Rattus norvegicus: one gene and its partners. Each later gene encodes a partner of the first gene's protein in a complex. Links are inferred from orthologs where the notes say so. Each region holds a gene or a part of one and is shown in the gene's direction. Other genes may lie near its edges.

The links. Proteins that work in one complex are often made in the same cells at the same time.
Region 2: Stac3 (region 1) and Cacnb1 share a complex: the UniProt entries of both Homo sapiens proteins name them as parts of the calcium channel complex. The link is inferred for Rattus norvegicus from reciprocal best matches to the Homo sapiens genes STAC3 and CACNB1.
Region 3: Stac3 (region 1) and Cacnb3 share a complex: the UniProt entries of both Homo sapiens proteins name them as parts of the calcium channel complex. The link is inferred for Rattus norvegicus from reciprocal best matches to the Homo sapiens genes STAC3 and CACNB3.

What each region holds. Positions count from the first base shown.
Region 1 is NC_086025.1:65,233,064-65,237,327, forward strand, and holds the end of Stac3 (SH3 and cysteine-rich domain-containing protein 3), read left to right. Parts: intron 1-1,217; coding exon 1,218-1,284; intron 1,285-1,467; coding exon 1,468-1,520; intron 1,521-1,711; coding exon 1,712-1,797; intron 1,798-1,958; coding exon 1,959-2,010; intron 2,011-2,089; coding exon 2,090-2,227; intron 2,228-2,391; coding exon 2,392-2,490; 3' UTR 2,491-2,654; coding exon of another isoform or gene 2,655-2,678; 3' UTR 2,679-2,815; downstream 2,816-4,264. UniProt on the Homo sapiens protein: Required for normal excitation-contraction coupling in skeletal muscle and for normal muscle contraction in response to membrane depolarization. Required for normal Ca(2+) release from the sarcplasmic reticulum, which ultimately leads to muscle contraction.
Region 2 is NC_086028.1:83,507,514-83,512,825, reverse strand, and holds part of Cacnb1 (voltage-dependent L-type calcium channel subunit beta-1), read left to right. Parts: intron 1-498; coding exon 499-585; intron 586-1,747; exon of another isoform or gene 1,748-1,870; coding exon of another isoform or gene 1,871-1,900; intron 1,901-3,495; coding exon 3,496-3,615; intron 3,616-5,312. UniProt on the Homo sapiens protein: Regulatory subunit of L-type calcium channels. Regulates the activity of L-type calcium channels that contain CACNA1A as pore-forming subunit.
Region 3 is NC_086025.1:131,668,872-131,674,183, forward strand, and holds part of Cacnb3 (voltage-dependent L-type calcium channel subunit beta-3), read left to right. Parts: intron 1-2,056; coding exon 2,057-2,179; intron 2,180-2,416; coding exon 2,417-2,539; intron 2,540-2,952; coding exon 2,953-3,068; intron 3,069-3,340; coding exon 3,341-3,405; intron 3,406-3,593; coding exon 3,594-3,613; intron 3,614-3,807; coding exon 3,808-3,888; intron 3,889-4,024; coding exon 4,025-4,083; intron 4,084-4,252; coding exon 4,253-4,362; intron 4,363-4,482; coding exon of another isoform or gene 4,483-4,556; exon of another isoform or gene 4,557-4,596; coding exon 4,597-4,748; intron 4,749-4,979; coding exon 4,980-5,075; intron 5,076-5,175; coding exon 5,176-5,312. UniProt on the Homo sapiens protein: Regulatory subunit of the voltage-gated calcium channel that gives rise to L-type calcium currents. Increases CACNA1B peak calcium current and shifts the voltage dependencies of channel activation and inactivation.

The sequences.
Region 1 (4,264 bases):
AGACTGCCCAGAAGCAAAGCTAGAGATCTGATGTCAAAACAGCTAATAGAAGGCTTGGGTAGAGATAACAGCCTTCAGTTGGCCAGCTGTGGTTCAGGGAAAACACCCATTTTCTTAGAGCCTCTTCTCAACAGGGAAACGTGAAAAGTTGTCGTCGCCAGATAGGTAAGGTGAGGCACACCCGTCATCCCAGCACTGGGGAGCTGGAGACCAGGAGATAAGAAATCCAAGATCAGGGGTTGGGGATTTAGCTCAATGGTAGAGCGCTTGCCTAGCAAGCGCAAGGCCCTGGGTTCGGTCCCCAGCTCCGAAAAAAAGAAAAGAAAAAAAAAAAAGAAAGAAAGAAATCCAAGATCAGTCCTGGCCAGGTAAAGTGAGGACAGCTGAGCTGATGAGACTGTCTCAAATCAACCAAGAGGAGAGGAAAACAGAGAGAAGTGTGCTGTCCCCCCCCCACACACACACACATGCCTTTTCTTACACATTGGAGTATTGTTAAGCAGACAGTATAATGAAGGGCCTGAAGCCTAGTCATAGGGGTGATTTGAAGGGACTAAAGAGTACTGGGGAAGAGAAGCCAGAAGGCATATGTCTGCTGTCCTTGGATATTTAAAGGGACCCTGTTTGGGTCAACATTTAAAGCTCCAGACAGGGCTGGAGAGGTGGCTCAGCGGTTAAGAGCACTGACTGCTCTTCCAGAGGTCCTGAGTTCAATTCCCAGCAACCACATGGTGGCTCACAACCATCTGTAATGGGATCTGGTGCCCTCTTCTGATGTGTCTGAAGACAGCTGCAGTGTACTCATATAAATAAAAATAAATAAATCTTTAAAAAAACAAACAAACAAAAAAGTGCCAGACAGTAAATCAAGACAAAGAATTTTTCTTTTTTTTTTTTTCCCGGAGCTGGGGACCGAACCCAGGGCCTTGCGCTCGCTAGGCAAGCGCTCTACCGCTGAGCTAAATCCCCAACCCGACAAAGAATTTTTCAAATCGAATGGGTTGTATTGTAAGGTAACAAACTCCCCGGCACAGTATGGGTGACATTCTTGAATTCTTCTGGTGGTTGGACTAGATATCTAGGTGGTTGGAGTGATCTCCAAGCACTCTCCCACAGCTGAAGTACTATTGCTCTACTACTCTCTGGCCTGCCTGGAGAGGCAAAGGAAACACAGGATCCCAAGACAGCTTGTCTCTAACTCTGGTGTCCCCCTCTAGCCTCTGGCAGCCATGATGGAGGAGGAGCCAGAGTCAGCCAGGCCAGAGGAGGGCAAGTCACAGGATGGTGAGTGTCAGTCATCTGCATCCTTAGAAGATGGGATGGGGTGTAGTGGGGGTTTAGCTGCTGTCTAGCAGGCAGAGAGAGAACAGCTGAACCCAGGGTGAGAAAGGTCCACCAACGCAAGTGGGAGGAGTCATGGATGCTCTCCTGGAGGCAGAAGCAATTTGTCCGTATTTCCTGCCCAAGGAAACGATGCAGAAAAGGACAAGAAGGCTGAGAAGAAAACACCTGATGATAAAGTAAGTCTTTCCTCCCTGTAGAACCCTGGTCTCTTCCCAGTCAAAGTCTGACTTCATTCAGAGCTCTCCCCATCACCCCCACACACACACACTCACACACTCCGCACTGAGACAGACACACAAACCAACACAGCCCGCTCCTGGAAGAGGTAAATAGAGTCTGGTAACCCACCACCCCCTTGTACCCCCAGAACAAGCAACCTGGTTTCCAGCAGTCTCATTACTTTGTGGCTCTCTATCGGTTCAAAGCCCTGGAGAAGGATGATCTGGATTTCCCGTGAGGAACCTTCAAGGGAGGCGGGAGTGTGGGGAGCACTGAGGAGTAAGAGATGAGTTCTCTGTGGGAACAGAGGGGGGCAGAAGGGTGGGTGCCCTGCCTCACAGCCAGGCACTGGCATGTGAATGTAAATCACAGGGAAGATCTCCTTTCTATCCCAGACCAGGGGAGAAGATCACAGTCATTGATGACTCCAATGAGGAGTGGTGGCGGGTAAGACATGACTACCACCAAGGTGGGAGACAGGTAGTCTAGAACCTAAGACCTTCAGCCTATCCACTGCCTTCTCTAGGGGAAAATCGGAGAGAAGGTGGGATTCTTCCCTCCAAACTTCATCATTCGGGTCCGGGCTGGAGAACGTGTGCACCGTGTAACCAGATCCTTTGTGGGAAACCGCGAGATTGGGCAGATCACTCTCAAGAAGGACCAGGTATCTCGGGTGCCTTAACCTAATCTCAGGCCTGGTCGCACCTCTCCATCCACACACCTCGGAGGAAGATCCTAACTCATTAGTGTAAACGACCCTCTCCAGCGTCCCTGCGCCCATCTTTCTGTCCTTAATTTTTCCTATTCCCCAATCCTTTAAACCCCTAGATCGTAGTGCAGAAAGGAGATGAAGCTGGTGGCTACGTCAAGGTCTACACCGGCCGCAAGGTGGGGCTGTTTCCCACCGACTTCCTGGAGGAGATTTAGGTGTACTGGCGCCTGCTGGCGGGAGACACCCACGCCCCGTTCTGGGCGGGGCCCAGTGCGGGCTGGGGAGGGAAGGGGCAGGGGGACGAGGAGGGTCGGAAAGGCCCACCAGAGCATAATGACGTTTCTGGGGAGGGTCTGGCTCCTACCTCTCCCCTGCCTAGGGCTTCGGATACCTGGTGCGCTGAGCATCCTGCACCGATAAGGCCCACACTTCAGGTCCATCCAAACCTCAAGAGCTTTGGGGTGAGGGTGGGGAAGCATCTCCATAAGGAGGGGCAGAGCTGTCAAATGTTTGGAATTTATTAAAGTTTTGACAAAAGTTAGAAAAGTCTGTTTTTTTACGGACGAAGAGAAGCCCTGTGGAGGGAGGGAAAATAGAAGATCCCCTGGCTGCCCCACCAAATTGTCAGGTTTTGGAACCCCAAGGCTGGTGTGAGTAGTCAGACTTGCACTCGCTAGGCTAGACTTCTGCTGGAAGTGAGGAAAAAAGCCGGACTGGAATCTCCAGCGCAGTGCCCCCGTGGTTGAGAGAATAGCATGGCAGAGTAGGTACCTCCGTTAGATCATGCCCATTTAGCCCTTGGAATTCTGAACCTGGCTCAGAGCCCAGCTTGGCCACCAGGGGGCGATGCAAGATCTCAGTTGGAGAGAGGGGGGGATGGGGAGGGGCTGGAGGGGTGGCTAAGGGGAGAGAACCGGAGACACCAAGCCTGAGACCCTAGGCCTGGGAGGGGGGTGGGGTGCGTGCCGTCTCCATGGCAACACTTCCTCTAGTCCTCCGGGAATGGAGCAAGCGAGGCCGGGGGGCCTAACCCCTCCCGCACGGCCCCTGCCCCAGCCCTTTTCCGACAGGTACGGAGAGGACGCCTGCCAGACAGCTAACCGGCTCTAGCGGAGACCCCCCCTGCGGCGCGTCGTATGCAAATGTTATTATTTGCATATGCAAATATGCAAATGTTCCGGCCCTGGTCAGGGCGGCAGGTGGTGAGGAGCGGGAAGGTGTGCGGAAGGGAGCAGAAGGAGATGAGGAGTTTGGGGACCTAGGAACCGACCATTGAGAAGCAGCTTGGGGTGGTCGCTGGAGTGGGGCAGGCGGAGGGTCTTGGGTTTGATAGCGGGTGGGGGAGGGTCGGCCTGGCCAGCCAGAAGCTCCTCTTCTACTCTATGGGTTGTCTGCCAGGACTGAGGTTGGCACCGCCTAGCAAGGTTGGCAGCGGGAGCCCGGGCACCATCTGCTGCTGGAGGAGGGGGGAGGGCAGAGGCTCAGCTGGGCTGAGAAGAGGAGGGCCCCGGGACGGGCACCCCTCCCCTTCTGCACAGAAAGATGAGGTGTGCTGGGGGTAGGGAAGCGAACAACAAAACTCGCTGCAAAACTGGGTTCAGTTCCTTGTTCCCTTCGCCCTTGGCCGTTACACTCGAAGCCTGGCGGTGTGAGGGCCAGGACCTTAGAGGAACACTCACAGTCCCCCTTTTTATCATGACTGGACTGGAACAGGAGCAGATCACACAGACACACACACACACACACACACACACACACACAAGTCAACCTATTCTTTTGCCCCATTCCTCCTGGGAGTCTGCCTACCACAAGTAAGGGGAGGGAGGACAAGGACCTGCCTGTAGTCATCAAGAGGTCTGAGAGATTCCAAATCTGAGCCCCTCCGACTGTCAAGAGCCCCCCAAAAATACTGAAGCAAAACCAATTTACTGGCTCATTGGGCGGCAGTGTTGATGTAGGGGTGTCGAGGAGCTGGGAGAGCGGCTGTTC
Region 2 (5,312 bases), on another chromosome or scaffold:
CCAAGCCTGGCCCTGGGTTGCCTTTTCTCCTCTCTCTGGGGGCATAGCACACTCTGCCCCCTCAGCTCCAGATGCAGGGGAGAGGACGTCCCCCTCTCTTCCTCTGCCCCCCAGCGCTGCAGGCAGCCTCTCCCTTCCCCCCGAGGCTGCCGCAGCCCTGCCCAGCATCTTAATTAGCTTTGCTGCCTAACGAGCCTTCTATTCCTCGGGCTTTCTGCTTCCCAGCCTTCCACTTGATTCGGGGATTCCTGGGTGTGCATCTCAGGCTCTCTTGCACGGTTCCTCATGGTGGCTGTTGTCTGGGCACTGTCCGTGAGGTGGAAGACCCTCTTTTCTTTCAGACTGGTTACCTCTAGGAGGAGAAGCTGAAGTGGGGGTGGGGCAGAGCGGAGAGTCCCCAGCTAGGCTGACCGTATACAGCCCCAGCCCCGGCAGGAGGTGGACTGGGAAGGCAGGCGTCTTTCTGATTCCACTCTTGTTCCTTCCCCACCTCTCCAGGGCAAATACAGCAAGAGGAAAGGGCGGTTCAAAAGGTCAGATGGGAGCACCTCCTCAGATACCACATCCAACAGCTTTGTCCGTCAGGTAACAGGGAAGAGGGCTTGGGAGATGCAGCTGACTGGTGCAGACTGCCTTTCGACGTTCTCGCGGGGCACCTTTTCTCACGTCACTTGTCACCTGCCTGGAACTACCACACCCGACGCCCCGTGACCTCTCTGCACCCACTGCTTCCGCCCCTCCAGCACCAGCTCCCAGCCCCTGCTGCCTGCCTGCCTGCCTGCCTGCGTCATCTCATTCAGGGACAGCCTGGCCTGCCTCCTCCTGGCTTGCTTCGGGCTGTCACCCACTCCCCCTGCCGGCTGTGTGCTTCCATGTCCTCCCCCAGAATCTGTGGTGGGGTGGGGCTGAGGCAGGTGCATGGAAATAAGCTGAGATACCGGGCTCTAGTCAGGAATGGGTCAGGAACATACTCTCTCCACTCCAAACGTCACTCTTGTAAATATGCAGAGAGAGAGAGAGCAACGTGTGGGATAAGGGGTGTTTTATTTTACAGGGATGTAGCCTGTATCCCTAGCTGGAGTTGGTGTTGACAGTAGTTCTCTGGGCCCTCATGCTGAGCTGGGAAAACTGCCACTTTCCTCTCTTCCCTCAACCCCAGGCCATCTTAGGCTGGGGAGAGGCAGTGAGGAGGCATGTGGTTGCTATGACGACTGAGCATCTCAACAAAGCCTGGTACCCGGAAAAGGCAAGGGGGGCTCGGGATCAGACAAGGAAAGGCGTGTGGTGAGAGGGCAGAGGACACTTGGTAGGAGGAGCCCCCTGGGGTAAGAGCCCCACTGGGTCCACAAAGAAGTAGTAGTAGTAGCAGGCAGATCGGGCAGACCCATCGCTGACTGAACTGAGTACTTTATTTTGAGTTCCTCTGCCTCTGGGTTTTCATGTGTGAGCTCGGGCCTAGCTCCAGAGACCCAAGGGAGGTTTTGATCTGAGTGTGTCTAAAATACACAAACAGATCCAAGGTTCTTTCCGTAGTAATCATTCCTTTAGCCCTCCTGTTCCAGAACTGGCCAGTGCCAGGTCTAGAAACAGTGACACCATGCTTTTGTTGTTAAGACAGGAAGAGCCTTCAGCTTCCCCTTGCCAGCCAAGGGGTTAGACCCCCACAGACTCCCATTCTTCTTCTCTTAGCTTCCCAAGTCCTACTCCCAGTAGGTGGCAGGAGTGGGGGGCAGACCTTGCCACATCTCTGAGCTAAATATACCCTAGCAGTTTGCACATGTAGCAATTCTGCTTGTAACCTGAGCTCCTGGGGGAACGGGCTGTGTGGGCCACCCCTAGGCCGGCAGGGCTGGGCACTGAGGGCGCCGGGATGGAGGTGCCCAGCCGGACCCTGGTAGTGGTGAGCTGGGCATGGGGCAGGTGGTGGGTGGGTGGAAGAATCCCTCAAACTGCTGTCGAGGGCCTTTCTGCAGCCCATCTCTTTGCTCCTTTACTCTGCCTGTCTCCCATTTCTGGCTGTGTGTGTGTGTGTGTGTGTGTGTGTGTGTGTGTGTGTGTGTGTGTCTGTGTGTGTGTGTGTCTGTGTGTGTGTGTGTGTGTCTGTGTGTGTGTATGCATATGCATATGGGAGTCTGCTGGGGTCAGTGGCTGCCTCTCTGTCCATCTCTACTTGTCTCTGGGCACCTGTCTGGCATCTGTATTCTTGTTTTGGGGGACTGTGTAACAAGGGAGAATGGGGGTCTTTTGCTTCTCCCCCTGGTTCTGGGTCTCTCCAGGTTTAATTAGTCACCCAAATGTCTAGCCTACCCTTCCTCAAGTGAACTCCCATTCTAGGATTTTCCCTGGGAACGTAATGCTTGTCTCACCTGATGACTTAGGGAGAGGTAGGTCTTCGCCTCCACTCTCCCAATACAAACCAATGGACAATCCCGGCCAAGTGACTTTTTCCTGCCCTCAGGAGAAATCCCTCACATACCTGTAACTCCATGTCTTCTCTGTATTCCCTCCTAGACTTGTCTGCCGCCCACCCCCTCCCGAAGTCACACCAAATCCATGCATCCTGTCCTCCGCCACCCTTTGTCTCCCACACTCAGGGACACAGACCTCTGGGACGCCCTTAGTGTCTCAATTGTTCACACCCAGCACACACTCTGGAAGCCACATTCTCGAGCATACTTTTTTGTATCCCGAAATATACACACGTCTGCGCATTCGTGAGCAGTGCCGTGACATCTGTATGGCTTCCATGTGTCTCATCTGATAGATGTGTTGCTACCGGAGTCCTTGGCACTCTGGGACGGTGACTGTAGTCCGCCTTGGGTTCCTGTCACACTCACTCTTCACAACGGGACTTTCTGCCATCTAGCAGCCTAGTGTCAGGGCAGGGACCTATCTTCCACTCTCCCTCACACCTCCTGCTGCTCTGCCCTGAAAATCATAAGGCAGCTTGGCCCTATTCACAAATTCCCAGCCAGAGGAGTTGGGGAGGTGGGTGTTTTGCTCCCCTGAATCTTGATCAACAGTTTTGGTGGCCCTGTGATCCCAGTAGATGCCATGGGCAGCGGTGGGGATTCAGGCCTGAGAAGGTGGCTACAGTCCCTGCAAAGGATGGCGTTGAGTTTCTGCTATGCCTCCTCGGCCACTCAGGGGCAGGGCAGAGAAGGAGGAGCTGAGAGTTAGAGTCATCCCCTGGCACTCCTCCCTCGGGCTGTGCCCCTATCAGGTTCCCGCCCCTCCCAAGCCCCAAGCAGCTGTCATTAGACCTGCCTTAACCTCCAGCTGGCTGCTGTCACCTTTCCTAGGGTCACACTCGTCCCACAGGCTTGCAAACTTTGACCCCTGGCCTCTTTGTTCTAATAATACCTCCTTTCTTGGCCTTGTGGGATTGTGCTGGGCTGATGGGGTTTTGGATTTTTAGAATGGGTGGCATCTCCATGCCGTCCCAGGAGTCAGAAGAAGTGATGCTGGCCTTCAGCTGGTCCTCTCTGCTTTCAGGGCTCAGCAGAGTCCTACACGAGCCGGCCGTCAGACTCCGACGTGTCCCTGGAGGAGGACCGGGAAGCCTTAAGGAAGGAGGCAGAGCGCCAGGCCTTAGCCCAGCTCGAGAAAGCCAAGGTGAGACTAAAAGACCTGTGGGCATCACCTGTGGGCATTATCCCATCCCCTCCCCCACCCTCCATCCTGAGAGAGCCTGGGCAGACTGTCAAGTTTTGGATGAGTTGCTTACAGAGGTCTGTGCCTGTGTCTTTCCCCTGTGAAGAAAGTGTAGGCTGTGATGGTCTCTTCTTCCTCACGCAGCATGTGAAGGGTCTGGTGCTAGTTCCACCTCGCTTGACAAGTGATGGACTTTGCTTCTTCCTGGGCAAGGGACGTAGCTCAATGTAGAGTGCTTGCCTCGCTGGCACAAGGTCCTGGGTCCGTTCTCCAACGCCACAAGGACAATAAACCCACTTTCTACAATCCAGCTATCCCTGCACCTACACACACACACACACACACACACACACACACACACACACACACACATGCGTGCGCGCATGGGCATGTGTTTATGGTATACACGTGTGTGTGCACACACCCACCAATGCTGTAATGTAGGCCAGAGGTCAGTGTTCGGTGTCTTCCTCGGTTGTTCCTTACTGACCCTGAAGCTTTCCATCTTGACCTTACTGGCCTGCCTGGATCCACCTGTCTCTGCTGTGAAACCCCAGTGCTCAGGTTCCAGATGTGCACCTCTGTTCCTGGCCTACATATGTGCTAGGGTATTTGTCTAGGGGTGGGACATTGCCACCCCAGGAGAGGATGTCGGCCAGAAGTCTCAGGGCCAATCGACCTCTGACCGCACCCATCCCCACTTTTCCATGACAGCATAGTGTACACAAAACAATGTACCTGATGCTCTGGAAGTACTAACAAGGTTAAATGTCATATTCTAGGTTCCCTTTTTTTTTTTTAGAGACAAGGTTTTTCTGTAGCCCTGGTTGTCCTGGAACTTACTCCGTAGGCCAGGCTAGCCTTGAACTCACAGAGATCTGCCTGCTTCTGCCTCCTAAGAGTTGGGATTAAAGGCATACACTACCACCAGCCCCACCAAATTCTAAATTCTTTTAAAAGACTGCTTTATTGGGGCTGGACAGATGGCTCAGCAGTTAAGAGGATTATCCGCTTTTCCAGAGGTCCTGAGTTCCATTCCCAGCAACCACATGGCTCACAACCATTTGTAATGGGATCTGACGCCCTCTTCTGGTGTGTAGATGTACATGCAGATAGAGCATTCATATACATAAAATAAGTAAGTGAATCTTAAAAGAAAAGTTCGCTTTATTTATTTGTTTGGAGACGGGGTCTCATTATATAGCTTTGGCTATCTTGGAACTCACTATACAGACTAGACTGGCCTTTCAAGTGCTGTGCTTAAAAATGCCCTACTGGGCTGGTGAGATAGTTCAGTGGTTAAGAGCACTGACTGCTCTTCCAGAGGTCCTGAGTTCAATTCCCAGCAACCACATGGTGGCTCACAACCATCTGTAATGGGATCCAATGACCACTTCTGGTGTGTCTGAAGACAGCTACAGTGTACTTATAAAATATTAAAGAAAAAAAAAGTGTACTAGCACACAGGGCCTCAATATCTCTATCTATCTATCTATCTATCTATCTATCTATCTATCCATCCATCCATCTATCTATCTAGTACTTATGTGTGTTTCTGTATGCTAAGCTTGTATAGATGCCCACAAAGTCCAGAAGAAGGCATATGAAACCTGGAGCAGGAGTTATAGTCCATTGTGAGCCACTTGTGGGTGCTGGGA
Region 3 (5,312 bases), about 66 Mb from region 1:
GGCTGCCTGAGCCAACCTGGCCTGCCTTCGCCCTGCACACGCAGCGCTGGGCCCCAGGCCTGGTTGACAGCGGGGTGTGAGTTTGCCTTTTCCAAAGAGGAGTCTGGCTTCTGCTGCTTGTGGGTAGGTAGTCATAGCCTGTGGCTTTAAGAGACTGTTTCTTCAGCCTCAACATCCTGAAACCTCTTTCCTTACGCACATCCTTTTACCTAGCCTGTAAGCTTTTTTTCTGTGGTGCTGACATCTTGGAATACTGGGAAGAATTCCTCCAGGCTCCTGCACATAGGAGACACGGAGTCGGAAAAGGTTTCATTTCTTAACTTTCAGCCGCTTGTCTCAAAAGTTGAGCTTCCCCTATTCATCTGGCCCGTCCTCCTTTCGGAGAAGGTGAACTCTGTAACTCTCCAAATGTAGGCTTCTTGCCCCAGGACCCTACTAAGGGCAGGACTCAATGTCTATCCCTTCCCCGAGGTCCTGTATGTCATCTGGGTTGCCTGGTACAGTCTCCCTCCAGGCCCTGCTGTCCCTTGGGCCCAGGATAGAGAGATACAGGCCAGGTGTACCTGTCTGTATTACTCACACCTGTCCAGTCCCCACAGGACTGAGAAGGAAAGAAAGTGGGGGGAGCCAAGGAGTCTGTAGCTTTGGTCCTGTCTTCAGCCTTCACACACAAGGCAAGGCAAAGCACTCATATCTGTTTGACAGCTTTCAGAAACCTTGTTGGAAGCCAGCTGTCGGGGTACACAAGCACCTGGGAGACAGACAGGTGTCTCTCTCTCTCTCTCCCCCTCTCTCCCTCCTTCCCCTCCCTCTGTCTCTCTCTGTCTCTCTGTCCCCCCACCCCCCTCTCTCGTGTGTATTGGTTTGGTTTTTTTTTTTTTTTTTTTTTTCTCGGAGCTGGGGACCGAACCCAGGTCCTTGCGCTTGCTAGGCAAGTGCTGTACCACTGAGCCAAATCCCCAACCCCTGGTTTGGTTTTTAAGACAGAGTTTCTCTGTGTTGCCTTGGAAATCACTCTGTAGGCCAGGTGCCACCACCACAGGATTCATGTGTGTGTGTGTAAGGTCAGACATATGCATGCCACTGTATGTTTTCATTTACTGTGCATAGAGTCTGTGTAAGTGTGTTAAGCTCAGACACACACACACACACACACACACACACACACATGCTGCTCTGTGTGTATGTTTTAGCTTACTGTGTATTTTCAGAGATGGCTTCTCTACTTCTGTTGGTCCCCTGGATTTACCTCAGGTCATGTTTGAACAGCAAATGCCTTCATACCATCCTGGTCTTGAGGGTGAGGGGGTTGGTCTCATGCAGCCCAGAAGGTGTAAGTCTCTTAGCTACTAAATTGACCCCCCCAAGCGCTGGTGTGCAGCTGGCATCTCCCCCCCCCCCCCGCCCCAGGGCTGGGGATCGAACCCAGGACCTTGCGCTTCCTAGGCAAGTGCTCTACCGCTGAGCCAAATCCCCAACCCCAGGCATCTCTTAGCTAGGTGTACTCTAGTCATCTTTTTTTTTTAATTTAAAGCTGTTTGTTTCTAAAGATTTGTTTATTGTAATATTTATTGTACACTCTAGCTGTCTTCAGATCTCATTCCAGATGGTCGTGAGCCACCGTGTGGTTGCTGGGATTTGAACTCAGGACCTCTGGAAGAGCAGTCAGTGCTCTCAACCACTGAGTCATCTCTCCAGCCCCTTTCCAGTCATCTTAAAGGGATAATGTCCCGGCTACTTCAGGCTAACATGGAGATAAGAGACGGTCCCCTGGATTTAACACCATCTCGAATACATTGTCTTTAGTATTTTGATATTTAGTACAGGGGAGAAGGGAGAGAAAAAGGTAAAGATTTCATTCAGAAATCCAGGTGCGGGGTAGAAGGCCCTGAACTTTGCACATACAGATTGGGCGGCTTCCCTGTAGCCTTAGAGACACCAGGAGACACACAGGAAGCAGCTTAGGGGGTCAAATCATCCCCTAGAAGATGGAGAAGCTGCATCAGGGCTAGGAGGAGGCCCGTATGGTCCCTTTTACACAGATTCTCCCGTCCAGGGTTCAGCCGACTCCTACACCAGCCGCCCCTCTCTGGACTCAGACGTTTCCCTGGAGGAGGACCGGGAGAGTGCCCGGCGAGAAGTGGAGAGTCAGGCTCAGCAGCAGCTGGAAAGAGCCAAGGTGTGTGTGTGTGTGTGTGTGTGTGTGTGTGTGTGTGTGTGTGTGTGTGTGTGTGCTGGTGGGAGGCTAGGCTGGGCACGAATCTGTGCAGAATCTTAGGTCCCCAGGGGCATGTCAGGGTGTAAGTCACCTGTGGAAAAGTGTATGCCTGTAGCAGCTTTCTTGTCTGGGCCTCTGCCTCCCCCTGAGGTACTGTGAGGTGACTCTCTCTCACGGCCCCATGATCAAATTCCCCAGCACAAACCTGTGGCATTTGCTGTGAGGACCAATGTCAGCTACTGTGGAGTTCTGGATGAGGAATGCCCAGTCCAGGGCTCTGGAGTCAACTTCGAGGCCAAAGATTTTCTGCACATTAAAGAGGTAATGAACCTTACTCTCCCCGGAAGCCTACTCTAACACTTAATTCTTCTGTTTGCTGTCACGGCCTCCAGTGCCTCTTTAGTTCTATATCTAAAACAAGCCAGCTTCTCTGCGTGCATGCCTGTATGCCCCTTACACGGGGCCTGATCCCTCGGTTCCCACCATTCTCAGACCTGGCTTGGTCCTGAGTTCTGTCTGGGAGGGTAGAGTAACTAAGCAACCAGTGGTCTTGTGGTGACATCCGGGATTCCACACCCTGAAGCGCAACGGCCTGCGGCTCGAACCTGGCTGTCTTGTTCTATGACACCATTACACGTTCCTTGGCCCTCCCTCTGCTTTCCTTGTGCCAGCGTCCCAGAGTCCTCCCTGAGGAGCATCTCTCACTGCTCTTCCCTCTTCTTATTCCCTCCCAGAAGTACAGCAATGACTGGTGGATCGGGAGGCTAGTGAAAGAAGGTGGCGATATTGCCTTCATCCCCAGCCCCCAACGCCTGGAGAGCATCCGGCTCAAACAGGAACAGAAGGCCAGGTGAGAACAGTGCTGAGATTCAATACACACTCCCCCGAACATGTAATACTGCACCCACAGAACGCAGCTACACATTTACACCACACAATTACACACACAGACACGCACAACTACACACACACACAACTACACACACACAACTACACACACACACACAACTACACACACACACACACACCGTAGATGCCCAGCTGTCATAAACGTAGTTACTAATTTGTAAAACTTTAACATAGAGAACTGTATAGACATTTTTACTGTCCCCTTTCTGTCAGGAGATCCGGGAACCCTTCCAGCCTGAGTGACATTGGCAACCGACGTTCCCCTCCTCCATCTCTAGGTAGCCTCCTCCCCTCAGCTTACCCACCTTGGGTAGGCAAACAAGGGGGTCCTTCCTGTGAACGATATCGGAGCGGGAGGGATCGGAGCAGCCGGGGAACCCTGACCTCCCCTGGGGAAGGGACGCCCAAGCTCCACAGGGCCTTTTCCCTCCACCAACTTTAATCTTTTATTTCCTTTTCCAAAAAGCCAAGCAGAAGCAAAAGCAGGTGAGTCAGAAAGGGACCTGGGCCGGGGGGGTCATGGATTTTGGCTCTGGGGACCCTCCTGGTCAGCCACTGCTGACATCAACAGAACAGAGGGAGGGTGCCCAGAACTCTCCACTCTGCCCCCAGAGCAGTCAGGCCTAAAGTGGGCACTGACCGAGACCAAGATTTTGTCTGACCTCCTGGCCATTCTGCAGGCGGAACATGTCCCCCCGTATGATGTGGTGCCCTCCATGCGGCCTGTGGTGCTGGTGGGACCCTCTCTGAAAGGTTATGAGGTAAGGAATCTCCCAAGCCCAGAGTTACCCCCACCAGAGCTGCCACCGTGGGAAATGTCTGTGCAGGGTGCAAACTTACTTTGGGACACTGTCCCCTTGCTGGAGCCCTCTGTCAGCACCACATCTTCCCCTCCAGGTCACAGACATGATGCAGAAGGCTCTCTTCGACTTCCTTAAACACAGGTTTGATGGCAGGTAAGCCGTCCTGGAGGGGAGTGAGAATCGGGAGGAAAATAATTCCCCCCCGCATGCATGCATGCCCAGAGCTGGTCTCCTCTCAAGGAGAATTAGAGAGCTGGTGTGGGGAGTCCGTGACTTAGATGGCGTGTGTGTGTGTGTGTGTGTGTGTGTTCCTCACACCCAGGATCTCCATCACCCGCGTCACGGCTGACCTCTCACTGGCCAAGCGCTCTGTGCTCAACAATCCTGGCAAGAGGACCATCATCGAGCGCTCTTCTGCCCGCTCCAGCATTGGTGAGGAGTCCTTTGTCCCTGGCTCTCTGCCCGCTTGATGCTAGTGAAAACCTTGAACTCCTTGTGGTCTTGCCCACGCCCCACCACCTGTCCCAAGTGCTGCCCTCCTCCCTTGCCCAGTCCACTGCCCGCCCAGGCTTGCTGGTCCGTTCCATTCGCCGCCGTGTAGCAGCTCTGGAAGCCCTGGCAGTTAGCAGTGGCCAGAGCCCCTGGTGAGCTGCTCCCCTTCCTCAGCTGAGGTGCAGAGTGAGATTGAGCGCATATTCGAGCTGGCCAAATCCCTGCAGCTAGTGGTGTTGGATGCTGACACCATCAACCACCCAGCACAGCTAGCCAAGACCTCACTGGCCCCCATCATCGTCTTCGTCAAAGTGTCCTCGCCAAAGGTAAGTGAACTGGGGTCACTGGGGTCCCCTAGAATACAGTGCACCTCTGCCTGGGTCTTCCCTGGAGTGACCGGTTCCTTTTCCTGCCATTCCTTAACACCCCGAGTCCTCCTCACCCAGTATAAATGTCATTCATAGCACAAGGTGGGAATTGAGCCTAGTTCCTTCCAGGCTCAGATCTCACCAGAGCCCACGAGAAACGCCACGCCCATCCCTGCCCTTCTCCTCCAGGTACTGCAGCGACTGATCCGCTCCAGGGGGAAGTCCCAGATGAAGCACCTCACTGTACAGATGATGGCATATGATAAGCTGGTTCAGTGCCCACCTGTGAGTGCTTGGGTCGGCTGCACCCACGGCCTATGCCAGAGGTTAGAGCTCAGCATCATTGCTGCAGAGAAGCCAAACTCGCTGTGTGCTCTCTCTCCAGGAGTCATTTGATGTGATTCTGGATGAGAACCAGCTGGACGACGCCTGTGAGCACCTAGCTGAATACCTAGAGGTTTACTGGCGCGCTACCCACCACCCAGCACCGGGCCCCGGGATGCTGGGTCCGCCCAGTGCCAT